2 linked regions of the Struthio camelus genome follow. The protein of the gene in region 1 purifies or fractionates together with the protein of each later gene. This does not show direct contact. Links are inferred from orthologs where the notes say so. Each region holds a gene or a part of one and is shown in the gene's direction. Other genes may lie near its edges.

What was found.
Region 2: the proteins of FBXW7 (region 1) and NAP1L1 purify together in Homo sapiens (affinity purification with mass spectrometry, with the first as the bait; 3 studies listed by BioGRID). This does not show direct contact. The link is inferred for Struthio camelus from reciprocal best matches to the Homo sapiens genes FBXW7 and NAP1L1.

What each region holds. Positions count from the first base shown.
Region 1 is NC_090945.1:38,375,926-38,383,409, reverse strand, and holds the start of FBXW7 (F-box/WD repeat-containing protein 7), read left to right. Parts: upstream 1-4,470; 5' UTR 4,471-4,479; coding exon 4,480-4,587; intron 4,588-7,484. UniProt on the Homo sapiens protein: Substrate recognition component of a SCF (SKP1-CUL1-F-box protein) E3 ubiquitin-protein ligase complex which mediates the ubiquitination and subsequent proteasomal degradation of target proteins.
Region 2 is NC_090942.1:43,445,480-43,452,812, reverse strand, and holds the start of NAP1L1 (nucleosome assembly protein 1-like 1), read left to right. Parts: upstream 1-4,327; 5' UTR 4,328-4,498; intron 4,499-7,333. UniProt on the Homo sapiens protein: Histone chaperone that plays a role in the nuclear import of H2A-H2B and nucleosome assembly.

The sequences.
Region 1 (7,484 bases):
TTATCTGCAAAGGAAGTCGGACACGAGATGGTGTCTCAGGAAGTACGACCAGTGTTTGCCCTGTACTAGGCTGTACAAATTATGCAGTTCTGGAATGGAAACCCTTGTTTGTAGCTCCTCTTTTGTGGGAGGGGGAAGAATGAGTTTGAGTTTGATTACCCATGTATCTGCTTGGCCAAATAAAAAACGAAAACTAGCAAGGTTTTGAGAAAGGCTGGTGAAGCTGAAAACCACTTCTGTTGCATTGTGTCTTGGATCACGCTACTGAAACTGGGAATTCCTTCCTGTAACTGCTTTGAAAGTGCCCTGTTGTAGGGTCAGTGAACTTGTAAGAGTGCGGTTTTGTTTTACTTTGTTTTTTTATCGTTTTTGAGATGAGAGTCCAAACATCCAAAGAAAATTTGGCACCTTTAGATTAGAATCCTCTCTGATTTTTTCAGAGTGCAGGAGATGCGTCTTTTAAAAGCAATTTACTGCTTCAACTTGAATCGTTTATTTAAAGTTTTTTATTACCCATAGTAAACCTTCAGTTAGAAACTGTCTTGTATCTATTTGCCTATCATACTGGTATATGAAAGGGCTCTTGATATATGTATGTCAAGCAGTTTTTAGGATTCTGATGAAATACATAGCTTAAAAATAGTTCATGACAGTATAAATTCTTAAGTTGTATTATTTTTAATTAAGTTTGAAGGATTTCCTTCATATTGCTGTCATCTTCACTTGAAAAATAATTAAAAAAAATGCCTAAATTCTTATCCTGTGCTAATTTCTGTCTTGCACAAACAGATGTGTAGTCTGACTGTATTAAAATTTAGTTATGTATTGAAAGCTTAGCTGTTTTTTTTAGCAATAATTTAAGAATCAACTTTGAGAAGACTGATTCAGTGCAAGGAAGTATGCTTACATATCAATTAGCTATTTTTTGATAATTCTGAAAAGTAAAATGTTAGATGGCTGTGTTATGTTGGATTTACTTTCTGAGACAGTGGAACTTAGATAGTTGTGCAGGCAAAAGGAGGGAGCTGGCCAGGCCATCAAACAAGCCAGAGCTCTCTGCTGTTTCATACCCTCTTTCAAAGAGTTTAAGACTCATTCATCTGTTGCAGAAAATTTCTCTCTCCAAACCCTTTACACATATAGCCTCTCTGGTGTTCTCTTGCTATTTCTTAAAGATGTAAGGAAGTTGTATATATTTGTTTGTTCAGGAGCTTTATTTCACAGTTAATATATTGTTTCTATATATATTATTGTGAACAATATAGTGAAGTATATATTCTGCACATTTTTTTTTTTTCATTACTACTTATGCTTTTCATAGTCTACAGTCTTTTCCGCATTCTGTGTTCAGGCTCTTTAACTAAGAGTGTGTCTGGCTGTTTGCCCATTTAGATTTTGCATACAAGAGAGTACAGCCTTAGCTCAGCATGAAATCATCTCTCCGTTATGTTTTTTTTTTTTTTTTTTTTTAAAAACAGCTGTGGCTTGTAATGGAGACTATGACAAGGAAGCTTTATTAGTATGATAAATGTTCCTTTGAAACCATAAGCAATCCTGCTTTTTTTTTTTTTAAAGTTCAGATTTGACCAAGTTTGTGGAAGTAGTGAGAGTTAATATACTAGTAAAAGTAACTGGTGTTCTGAAATATAACAGTTCCAAGGATGATGTCTGCATGACTCTGTCCTGTCAATGAATACTATAAAGGATAACATCACATATGTAATATTTCACTTAGAAATAGGGAAGTAATGAAAAAAACTAATAGCAACCAATTTTAACTTCAGAGGAAAGACGGAGTACCGATGTATTGAGAATTTTTCTGGAATCAGATGCTAGAAAAGTAGAAGAAACAAAATATTGTGGTAACAGCAATGTGAAATTTAAGCAAATCTGTTCTCATTTTTTAAAATAGCATTATAGGACATTTATAGGTGAAAAACAAAGCTTGTTCTTCTCTGTTGAACTACATCACTATCAGAGGGACTTAAATTCCACTGTCCGTAGATAGAAACGCAAATTCTGCAGTATTATTGCTTAGATGTTCAGCAAAAATATTAGATGTTCCTAAAAATATTTATTTTGCAGATAGCCTATACAGCTGTGGCTTGTCTGTCACAAGCCCTATCTGCATGCATCCTAGAATCAATAGTACATTAAGGAAGCTGACATGAGGAGGGGAAAAATCATAAATAATGAATAGCAGGCTTTACTGCTATTATTATATTCTTAGGCGGCATTTCATTTCTGCTAAGAATAATACAAATTCTAGTGAGATACAACTGTACTTTGTAACCTGATTAGACTTAAATCCATTATCCAAAATACAGCTGTTTTTGTTTAGTCTGTCCCTTGTTAAGAAATATAATAGCGTGATCCTTAACTGTATGCTGCCAAAAGAAAAAGGTAGGGTTTTCATTTATTAGAAATACTGTGTGTACAGTATGAATATTTTTATTGGAACTTATCTGCAGTCTACTGAGAGACCAGGTTTTGAAGTGGGGGGATGTGAGGGTTGTTTTTAACCACTGTTTTCTTAGCTTTCTAAACAATAGAAGCTTGTGAACAGAGGTTTTTGTGGTATGCAGGATATGTGAAGTTTTGAGCATAAGAGCATGATCCTTGCACTTTAAATCTGTGTATTAATTTTTTTTCATTAGCTCTCTCTGCTTCCACATCCTGCACATTGCTGGCAAGCATGCATCAGCAATAAGACTTTCTTCACTAATGTGTCTGACATATCTCTGTAATGTGCAATAGCTGATTTTTTTAGAAGTTGGCTCCTTTCTAGCCATCTGAGTAATTTCACCTGATATTACTTTAAATTTCCTATATAATGTGCTCTTTCGATGAATAGCTGTGTAGAATGAGCACAGGAAGAGCAAAGTCCTTGGCAATACCAGCTCAATTGCATCTGCAGATGAGGATTTAAAATTCTGTGCAGCAGACAGTACCTCCAGCAGGCGAGTAAAAGGTTACTGCATTATTTTCCTTGTTTGCATCTCTAGTCTTTATCTACCAAAGGCTTTCTTTTATTGTTCAATTTGTTGTGCATGCTCGTATATAGATGTAACTGGAAACTGATTTAATGGAAACACGGATATCGAAAGGGCAGAGCAAGGTGAAGGGAGAGGCTCAGTTGAGCTTTAAACCAAAGAAAGGGAGGGGGAAGAGAGAAACAGTAAAGGGGAGGGGAGAGGGAGCAGGAGAGAAATTAAGCTTTCAGTGCATTGCAAAAACAAGAAGTTTTTTGTCAATGTATTCATTTAAGCTGCTTTCATGTCACTTGCATTTTTCTTAACCTTTTGATAAAGAGGATGCTATTGAACCAGGCAAGTCATGATAGCTCTATAAATGTAAGTGACAATTATTTCAAGTCAGATTATCCTGTAATCAGGTTAAGCATTTGTGTTAATGTGAGACCTTCTGCTTTTAGAAGCAGTATGGCATACTGTCTTAAACCAATTAAAATGAGCTTTTTACAATATTACTTGCATCTTTTTTTAAATATGGGAAGGAAAAATTACATGGTTATTGTACCAGTATCTCCTGAAAATGAGATATTTCTCATAGTGAGTTAATTGCATGCGTTAGGTTAGAAAGGTATTCACTATTGCAACCAGAGTATACTGCTTTTAGAAGGCCTTTTTATGTCTGACTGCTCGTTTGAATGAGTTCTGCTGCTTCCAGATCCTTTTTTCTCTGAGTGAAGGACTCCTCCAAGACTTTATCAAAGCTGCTTATGCTAGCCGCCCCTGTAACTTCTCTCGGGAGTTGGCTCTGTTACCTTTTGACATTCTACTTCAAATTCTTTCCTTCTTGTTTCTTCCTCCGTTTACATTTTTGCTGTTGTTTCCTGATGTCCTCCTGGCTCACACAGCTTCCTAGCAGCCATTCTTATTTCAGGATCTAGCTAGACCCCAGCATGCTTTTTTTCAGGGCTTTCCCATTTTTGAAGTTAGAAGAAAAAAAATTTTTTTTATTTATCTTTTTTTTAAGGTGGTGCAAAAAGACACTTGCGGAGCCCAGCCGCCTCACAGGGCTCGACGTTCTCGCCTGTCGTTTGGACTGGTGGAGCCCTAAGAGCTGGCAGCCCCGGAGGGGAGCGCAGCCCACGGGGCGGCAGTGGGAGGTGGCCCCGGGGCCGGCCCGAGGGGCAGCGGGCGGGCAGCGGGGAGGCGCTCCGCAAAGAGGAGTCCCGGGCACAACGTGCACGTTTTTTAAAGCCCGCGTTTACTTGCTGATGATGGGCTGGGCCGACGCTCCCTGGACAAGTGCCTTTTTTTTTTTTTTTTTTTTTTTCCCCTTCTTCCCTCCTCCTTCAGTTCAACAGTCTTAATTTCAGCCAGGGAGCTGCAGAATGAAGCGGTTGAGCAGTTTTGAGCGTTTACGGGACGCCGACTGTCCCGATTTCTTTAAGAATAAACTCGTCTGATGAGCAAGTCAATGTGTGGCTGTGGCTGCAGCATTATTTCTTCTTTAATGAAGAGGCTGGGCTGTTCGACCTGCTGCTCCGATCTGCTATCTTGCAGCCATACATCAGAGCAGTTGCAGAGACTGTCCATTGAATGTCTCAGTCAGCCAAAGAAGGTAACTATATTCAAAAATTAAAATATACCATTAACAGGATGCTTTATAATTTGAACTTATGTGATAAAAAGACAGATTTCAGGTGTTCTTAGCAGTTTTCTTGACCTTGCAGTAGCTATCCAATATCATTTTGCCATCATCAGGTTGTGTAGCAATAGAAATGTGCTGCAGTAATTGATTTTGTAATAGGATCAGGTGATTTACTGGCTGCACTGACAACCACTTGCTTGCTTGTTCTGAAACGTGGAGCACTCTAATGGATGTTTTGATTGCAGCCTCGACTTGCTCTGAAACTGCTAGATGTTCAAAGATGTAGCATCTCATTTGTCAGAATAAAAACTTCTCTAGCTGTATTCTCCAAGTTATATTGGAAATTCATTTTTTTTAGGCTGACTTTTCAGATTCGAGATTCTTTGTACAATCCTTACTAGAGTAGAACAGGAAATAGTCTTCACCAACTTCATGTGTGTCAACTTAGCCCCTTTTCTTATAGCCATTTAAAGCACATTAACACATGTGCTTTAAGCGTTTCCTGAGAACTTGAGCCATGGCAAACATAGTCCAACTGTATGCTTAGAGGAGAGTATGCAATAATTCTTTTTTGATTGGTCTTAAGTGTTTTATTTTCTGCTAATATATTATGATTTGGAAGCAAAAAGCTGACTCTCTTTAGAAAACAAACCAAAATAAAAAAAATCATGTCAGAGTATCACTTTTATTGTAGAAAAGTCATTAGGAGGTGTGATCTGGTGAGTGAAAGTGAGGAGCTTAATTGGTTCAACCTTTTGGACCAAGCTGTCTTAGGCTGATAAAACTGAAACATGTTTTGTTAAGCTCTAAATTTTTAGATATGCAGTGCCGCATTCATCTACCAGGTCATTTGGGGAACAGTATTAGCACCAAGCATGCTACAATGATTGGCAATAGTTTCCACTTAATTTGCTTTCAAAATACATTCATAATTTTTTATCCCCTATTGTGCAAGGATAAACATCCCTTGCTCATGGTTATATGGCATAATGTATAAGAATGAAAGCTTGAAAAGTAAAATTAACTTGTGTTATTTAAAATTGTCCGTAGTTGTTGTCATTTTGTGTCTATTTTGCGCTGAAATGATGGAAGAATTGCATCAGGAAATAGGAATTTCCTGCATGGACTTTGAAATAAGAAACAGTCAAAAGGCAACTTTTCTATGCTGAAGTTTAGAGGATGGCAGCCACCTTGGCCTGGGAACATCAGTATGCTGTGTACGATAGGTAATTAAACAACTATCAAACTGGTAACAGTTTTTCAAGTGACTGTATAACACAGAGATTTAAATGGCCCAAAATAAATCAAGGTGGTTTGGTTTGAATTTGTTGAATCTAATCAAGATTGAAGTCAGTGAGCAAGAAACATTAGATTTAAACTAGTAGATTTTAATTTTGTTTTCCATTTATACCTCAAAGAAGGTTGTTAAATGGAAGTTGATTCTCACTCATGTAATTTGGTACATCTTTTTCCTAATGAGGAGAATATTCTACTACTCCCATGTTTGTTCATGCAGTATATAGCTTAACATTTAGAGTATTATTTTTTCAGCTGTTATACTGTGAAATGAGCATGAGTACTCTTGCAGAAGTAGGTGTCTCTTGCCAATTTATACAAATGAAAAGAAACCAAAATTCCCATTTCCTCAACACACAATATGTTTCTTCAGTTTGAATGAACTGGTCATTCAGTTGGAGTAGCAGAACGAGCTCAAACGTATTTTTTGAACTTGAAGAGCAGTAGTGTTCAAGGTTGTGTGTGTGTGTGGAGGTGGGAGCACTTCTCTGAGCTCAGGTTGCAGGACTTAGTCAATGATTGAGTTCAGTGATTTGACTTTTAAAAAAAAAAAAAAAAAAAAAAAAAGGTTGGAGTCCAGCACCCTATTTCAATTATTTGCTTTAAGTTGCCTTAATAGGCAAAAGGAAATGCAGCTATTGGCTTAGGAGAGAGACTAATTAAAAATGGCTTCCATTTAAAGGTGTTAACTTGATAAGAAAAATAAGACTAAATAGTTTATTTTTACTTTTAAATTTGTTTTATTCTTCTGTTATGTATCTCTTTCAAGGTTAGTTTATACTAATTATGTTTTTGGGGACCATAATGTTGTATTTTTGCACGAGGTTTTGTGAGAAAGCTGGTGTGATCCACTGTATTTTGTATGTCTAAACACAGTGATAATGAGATAAGGAGTCATGTCCTAAAGTTCAAGAAGAAAATTTTGGTAAATCACTAGGAAAAATAGGTTGGAAAGAGTTGCATTTTTCCGATAAAATAGAAAATGGAACATTATCATTTTCTAAAAAGAGCCATGTGCAAAACTGCACTGCAGAATTTAACAACTCCATGAAACTAGCTAGGGCAGGAAAGAAAAAAGGCCTTTCTATTGACAGTGGATATAGTACTGAAACAGTAGTAAATATTAGTAATATGTTCTCTCGGATTATTGTTGTACTAATAATAGAGCAGAATGAGGAAAGAAACTAATTAATAGGAATATCCTAAATGTTGTAACTAGGCTTAGCATTCTGAACGTTCACTGGAGATTTATTCAGACTGCCTCCTCTAAGTGTTCTTAACACCTCAGTAATGGGGTCTGAAGGTGCCCCTGCCCCAAAGCAGGTACCTCTGCCCCCGACTGAACCCCAGTATAGACTCTTACATAGGACCTCTGAATTGTGCGTAAGGTAAATGGAGCAGTTGTTTACTATAGTGTCTGTATAGTCTGTATGCTACAGATTCTGGGACTTCCCTGGTAGTCTAATTAAAAAATAAACAACACTTCACCATATTTAAAACTAGTGTTTTGTTCTTACTATTCAGCCAGAAGATATTTGCAGTGATAGCCCCTACAACAGCTCTGAAAAATG
Region 2 (7,333 bases), on another chromosome or scaffold:
TGTGTTCCCTGAGGGAAAATTTGCTCTCATTTCACAAAAGCAGAAGCAAGTGCAAAACAGAAATCTGAGAGAGTCATTCATTCAGTTCTACATAGGGATTTGCCTGATTTGCCACGTGACAGTTCAGCAGAACTTTCTATGCTGTCTGTGGAACTGTTTATAAACTATGACTTGCTTTCTGGGATGATGTACTTTCCTTTAAAAAACAATCTATCCCTCAAAAAGTAAACAATATGTGGAAGAAATAACAACTGCTCTGTACTGTTATCGTTCGCTGGCTAGCCGTGTAACTTGGAATAATCATTCTGTAAATGTAGAAACAATTGCTTTTTGCCACAAGGAAGCAATGCAGTCTTTTAAAGGGACTATTCAGGATTCATTGTTTTCATTGTGTACAGGTAAACCTAGTAGTTCTGCACAGCATTTCTTCATAGTTTCAAACTGAGCTGAGGAGAAAGCATCTCTTTGTGGCACTTGAGGAACCTTGGGCTATTTATTTTGTAAATAGTTCAGTGAGGGTGTTCTCATTTTCAGTGACCGATGATAACTTCCATGGTGATTGTAACTAAGCCAACTACTACAGACAGAAGCAGAAAAGGAGCACTCATATCATCCCTCGTCATAACTCAGTGCTCATGTGAGGAGCACTGCCAGCCGATCTCAGGAAAAGAGTAACTGTAGGCAATCAGGACTGTGGCAAACTGCTGGGGGTGAGCTGACCTGAAAGCAGCTATGATCGGAGGAGAAGGTGTGATCATCGTCTTCCTTACATACATCATAGCTTTGCAGTGCTGACCAGGACCTGAGTCCTGTAAAACTGACCCTTCAGTAGGTACTAAGCGTGCCTGCTGCCTTGCAAGAGCCACTTAGGTTTTCATGTAATCAAAACCAGGTCCGTGTTAAGGACCTTTTGCATTTTCTGTTGGTATAAAAGGGAATGAAAACAGCTTTACCGATCAAAGAAATCCCTGCCACAAAGCATGCTGAGCTCCATGACTTACACGTTTTCCTAAGCTAAAGCCCCGTGGCTTTAGCTTGGTTGTAGTCTGAACATAACTCAAGTACATAGCATGTATGCTGTGCTCAGGAAGACTGACCTTGGATGTGAGTGTCATCCCAAACCCATTTTTTGCAACAGGCTGTTACAGAAACAGTGGCTCCGCCTTCTACAATAGAGCTTGACTTTCTTCAGGCCTCCTCCATACAAGCTTAGGCCTGTGCTCAGTCCCTGGGCGTCCTCACAGTCTCCATCTGGCGCTAGCCCCTGCTTCAAGCCTGTCTTTACAGCAAATGTGCAAGCTGGTGATGCGGAGGGAAGACTCAGCTTTAAAGTGCGCGTAACTGGTAATGTCCATATATTTAAGGGAGAGATGAAAGTTCAGACTCCTTGATATTTAATAGCTCCATGGCTGGAGTAAACAGCTAGCATGTGAGGGACGCAGTTCAAATCCTTCTTCCTCTGTCTGATCTGGAGCAGTGATTTGACCTTGAGTCTCTGTCCAAGAGACTTGCCCTAGCTACTGTGCTATAGAGTGGCTTTGCTGGCGGCTCTTGCTGAAACTCTCCCAATTTGTAGAAAATACTATATCTGTGTGCAAACAATAGCCACACCTGGACATTTTCTTACACTTGTTTTAAAGCTTTCAAAAAAGTTTCCTTTCAAGATGTAATATTTTGAAAAGTAATACACACTTATACGGAAAATCTGTGAATATACGGAATGCATTCTCAGGTGATTTGATTCCCATCATTTAGAAAATGAAGTTACTTTGACTTTCAGTGCAATATCAAGGCAATACTCCCAACTATCCAGCCAGATTCAAACTAAAAGCTGCAGTGCATGCTCTAAAACATGGGAAACATGCAGGAAGATAAAAAGTTCAAAGCAAAGAAGAGTATACGGGCCATTAAAGTTCAAGCACAGGATTAATTTCAACTCAAGTCTAACTCTGAAGTTTTTTTAGTCCCATTGTCAGGATTGCATAACTGTCAGGATGAGGTGAACCGTTGGCTTTGACAGCTGAACAACCCAAACCAGAAAGCTGGCATGTGCACACAAGTCAGGTAATGTAAGAAATACTTTTGTCTTTCCTTCTTCCATACATGTATGATGGCAGGAGCCATGTGGAAGGAGGAGTGGTGTGTATATGTCCTCCCCCTCATCCCTTCCTGCTTAACTGTTCACATAAACTGCTTCTTCTTGAAAAATGTTTCCGTATTTGATGTTCTTCAAAAATTAATGAAGAGCCCTAGTATAAGGACTCCACTTTTATTTTGTCCCATAAGAAGAAGTTGACCTACTTGATGAATGCAATCCTCCTAAGAAAGCTGTGAATTTTGGGTGAAAAGGCATTTATCTCCAATCTAGAGATAGGTGGCCAGGACTTTTGAGGGTTTAGACTTATCCCCTACTCCTTGGCCTTTGCTGTTGTCTAGCTTAACTCTCTACTCAACAGTTCTGTCCATCTCATTTCTTACGTGCATCACTCCTGTACAGGGGTCACCGGGTCTCACCATTTCTCTAGGTGGCAGGCTGCATAAAGATAAGCAGTGCTAGCATTCTTGTGAGTCTAACCCTTGCTGTGTCACTTGTTTACTTCTGATTGAATAAAGTGAATGTCTGCAATAAAATAAAATTGATCTTGCAACAAATGCCAATCAGTTGCTCATTTTTATTAAAAGTCGTCTGCAAAAGTCGTCTGGTCTCTTCATATTCCCAAGCATCAGACACTTCAGGTGAATAAAATTAGCAACTAGTACAATTTTAAAATCTGAAGGTCTGAGGGAGGCCACAAGTAATTTTGTTTTAGAATCACAGAAGATTTCCATTCCTGTTTCTCCCAAATTCTTATCACTGGCACAATGCTTTGAAACTTTTTGGTTGGATTCTTCTTTTGTCTCCATTCATATTTGCAGCTTCCAGTTATTTTAAATTCCACACTATAATCCCACCTCTCCAACTTCCATGTCTTGGGGAGCAAGACATCCCTAATTTCTCTGCTTAAACATGTGTTTTGTAGATGGTATTTCTTTACCATAGAGACATCTGCTTTTGGGACCTAAGATTTTACTAGAATATACTGGAATAAAACTGGTGTGGTGCAGTATAGTGAAGACTAGGACCCTTTAGCTATTGCTTGCTTTTAACATAGATTGCATTGCAGATATTAGGCAGATCCATCACTTTTTCTTCTTCTTTCACTTTCTGCTGTCATTTCCATTATTAAATAACTATATTTAGACCGCAGACTGCCTTAGACAAATAGATGTAAGAAAAATGTAGGGACTGTGCATTAAATATCTCATAAGTGATATACATCCTTAGGATATATCCTTAGAAAACAGCTCTTATGCCATACAGCTCTTATGCTGTATGTTGTCCATCCCAACTGTCTCCAATAGTGTTTGAAGCCATCGGCTCTGTTCCAAAGTCTCCAAGACAATTAAGTTTCTGTAAGTCTTGCATAGATTAAGGATGTCTTCTCCAAGTGTGCTAGGAGATACTATTAGTTGGGAGTCTCTAGAGACTACTAGGCCTCCTTAGGGCTCTGGCAAACAAGCATGGCAAATCAAAATCAGAGGCCTGGAGCCGTCGCTGCTTCTGGCTGTCCATCCTGCCCAAAGCAGGAATGACTGAAGCGCTGATGAAACAGCTTTTGAACAACCACAGTTCTCAGCCTGGTCTTTTAAGGTGAACTGATCCCCTGGTTTTCTGGTACCTGTGGTCTTTGTGAATAGGGTTTAATTGTTTGGGTAAGTCTGTACTTATTTGATAGACTTATTTTTCACTCCGGTGCCTTCAGAAACCCTCCTAGGTCGGAGGGGAAGCGGCGGGAGGAAGGAGGCATGCTCTGAGGGGAGCAGGCGCGCCGCTGGATTTTCCGGCGCTAGAAGGGTTTGGAGCAGTTTTACGCTTTGGCCCCCTGCAACGTTTCACCCCGGCCACGCTCCCGCCTGGGAGGAGGTGGCGCCCGCGCCATGCCGCGGCCCACGCCGAGGCCGGCGGTGCGTAACGCGAGCGGTTTGCCGGCCGGGCGCCGTCCGTGCTCGGGGGCGGGCCGGTTGCCTTTCACCCGCGGGCGCCCGGCAGGCAAGAAGGACTCCGTCGGGAGATACGTGAGAGAAAAACACACCTCCCCGCGCAGGGGCTGGCGGAGGCAGCGCCCGCCGCCCCGGGGCCTTGCGTGCGCGCTGCTTCGCCCGCCCGCCCCGGCCCGGCGCCGGGCAGGCCCCAACGGCCGCCGCCACCAACGGCCGCCGCGCGCGCCACCCGCCCAGCCAGCGTGAGCGCGCGCGCGTTGCCAGGAGACCGGGGCGCGCGGCGGCGGAGCGGGAGGGGGGGGGAGGAGAGGGGGAGGGGGGGAGGAGGAGGAGGAGAGCTACGTGGTGACGTTAATTCTATATGAGCGCGAGCGGCGGGAGCTCGGGTCTTTTTACCGCCAGCCGCGCGGCGCCTCCTCCTCGCTCCTGAGTCACGGCGAGCCCCGGCCCCGCGCAGGTACCGGGCGGCGCGCCGGCCCGCTGCCGCCGGCGGGGGGGGGGGGGGGGGGGAGCGGGGTGCGGAGGCGGCAGAGCGGGCGGCGGCGGGTCCCGGCCCGGCCCGGCGGAGCGAGGCCGCCAGGGCGGTGGTGGTGGTGGCGGCCGCGCCGCTCCCTCGCGGCCCGCGGGATGGCGGCGCCGCTGCTCTCGCCGCGCCCCGGCGGGGAACGGCGCCTCTGTCCCTCCCCCCCCCCCACCTCTCCCAACCGCTTCCCCCTCCCCCGCACGTCCGCGGGTGCCTCCGCCGCCCTCGGCGCCCCGCGGAGGGGGCAGGGCCGGGCTAGGCCAGGCCGCGCTGCCGGGGCCCGGCGCTGAGGGGAGGCGGGTGCGTCGCGGCAACACGTGGGGCCGGCGGCGGGGCGCGGCCGGGAGCCGGCGGGGGGCAGCGGAGCGGCGGCCCCGCGGTGGTGGTGGTTGGGGGGGGGCGGCGGCGGCGGCCCCGTGGTGGTGGTGGTGGTTGGGGGGGGGGGGAAGGGGGCGGCCCCGGGGGTGTTGCGCGGCCGCGCGCGGTGGCCTTGTGCGGGCGCCCGCTCCTTGTTGTCTGGCGCTCGCCTGGAGCGAGGCGAGACTCCTGTGTGCTGTGCAGCTCGCCGCTGGCAGGGGGACCCAGAGATGCAGTCAGCGGCTGGGCGACTCGTGCTTCCCTGAGGAAAGACTATTTTTTTTTTCCCTCCCCCCCCCCCTCCGCTTTTTCTGGAGTTCAACATGTCTCTTCGCTGGATGCTTGCTGGCTAGGATCACCCGGAATGAGGCCTTTGCTTTCTTCCTGATTGTAGATGTATCCAGCGTAAAGGACTGGCAGCAGCAGTTACATGAGATGAGCGATAGTCTGCCATCAAGAAAGACTTAAGAAAGTGCCTGAGGGAGCTAGTGACTGCAGTTGGAAGTCCTGGAGTGTGTTTGTCATTGCCATATACATGAAAAAATACAAAATATCCATCCATTACACGTCAGATATTTAGGGGGACTTACACTGTCAACGTTTACGAGGATTTCGGTATTTAGAACAAAACCTTCCCCATTTGCTTGCAGAAAAACCCACCATAAACTCTCTGAAAGTGGTTGTGATAGAGTGATAGTATGGCAGTGTCTTCCCCAGTTTCTCTCCAAGCACACTGTAGCTGGTGGATGGGTTTGATGCATCACATTTTGTGTTTTGAAACCCCATGGAAAGATGCTTATGTTTCATATTGTAATTCTTTGAGAGGAATTTAGAGTAACAGTAGAAGTGGCCATTAAACTTGCAAGGTATGACAAACAACCCCTCTCCCAAAAAATGGAGTTTGAACTTTTAATGATAATGGAGGTTCCTTGTAATTTTCCTCTCAGTCATGAAATAAAACCTGAGAGAGAACAGCTAGGAGGCTTAAGATAGTGTGCAAAGTTGTGAGTACTTTCTGACAAAGTAGCTAGCTTGTTAGTAGCTTGTTAGTAGCTTGTTAGTAGCTTGTTAGTAGCTTGTTAGTAGCTTGTTAGTAGCTTGTTAGTAGCTTGTTAGTAGCTTGTTAGTAGCTTGTTAGTAGCTTGTTAGTAGCTTGTTAGTAGCTTGTTAGTAGCTTGTTAGTAGCTTGTTAGTAGCTTGTTAGTAGCTTGTTAGTAGCTTGTTAGTAGCTTGTTAGTAGCTTGTTAGTAGCTTGTTAGTAGCTTGTTAGTAGCTTGTTAGTAGCTTGTTAGTAGCTTGTTAGTAGCTTGTTAGTAGCTTGTTAGTAGCTTGTTAGTAGCTTGTTAGTAGCTTGTTAGTAGCTTGTTAGTAGCTTGTTAGTAGCTTGTTAGTAGCTTGTTAGTAGCTTGTTAGTAGCTTGTTAGTAGCTTGTTAGTAGCTTGTTAGTAGCTTGTTAGTAGCTTGTTAGTAGCTTGTTAGTAGCTTGTTAGTAGCTTGTTAGTAGCTTGTTAGTAGCTTGTTAGTAGCTTGTTAGTAGCTTGTTAGTAGCTTGTTAGTAGCTTGTTAGTAGCTTGTTAGTAGCTTGTTAGTAGCTTGTTAGTAGCTTGTTAGTAGCTTGTTAGTAGCTTGTTAGTAGCTTGTTAGTAGCTTGTTAGTAGCTTGTTAGGTTAAACTTGATGCAGTGCCCCTTTTTCAATGATAAACTTATTAAAGTAAGTGAATGGCACAGAACTTGGACTGAAATGAGCTGACTAGCTTCTCTTCTAAATCCAGAAGTTATTTTACCCTTTTGGGACAAAATTAGGACAATTGAATTCTACACACATTGGAATTTGAATGAATTTTGGATGCCTTTCTACCAGAAAAAAACTTAGGCCCATCAGTGCTTCAGGTACCTGGAGCACTGATACAAATGCTTAGAATAGGCCATTGGTACCTAAACTTTTGGTTGTGTAGCCCACTTATTCCTGTGTGAGAGATATGTATTAGGACTCCTTCCTTTACCGCCCCCCCCCAACTCCTTTCCTCTGTTTTGTGACAGGTCTTGCATATCATGTGTTTCTGGTTTCTGGGGCAGTGGGTTATCTGTGCCTATGTAGAAGGAGGGACTTATGCATAGACAGTATACCTGGTGCTTTTCAGAGCCACTATCTACGCAGTCAGCCCAGTGGTTTGGGAAGCATGCACCAGAGGTGGTGGAGGAGTGGTGGTGGAGTTTACTGTAGTGGTGTATGTATGCACTGCAGTAGTGCAGTAGTGTGCTGTTGTCATCCTTATGCTTCGTCTAGTCCATAGCTTACTCCAAAACTGTTCATGGGACCAGGCAAGGGAATTGGTATGGTGAGCTGCTTACTGAGCACTTTGAAAACAGGTGGTCTGTTTTTTTCTTAGCCTCTTGCATGACTGGGAATA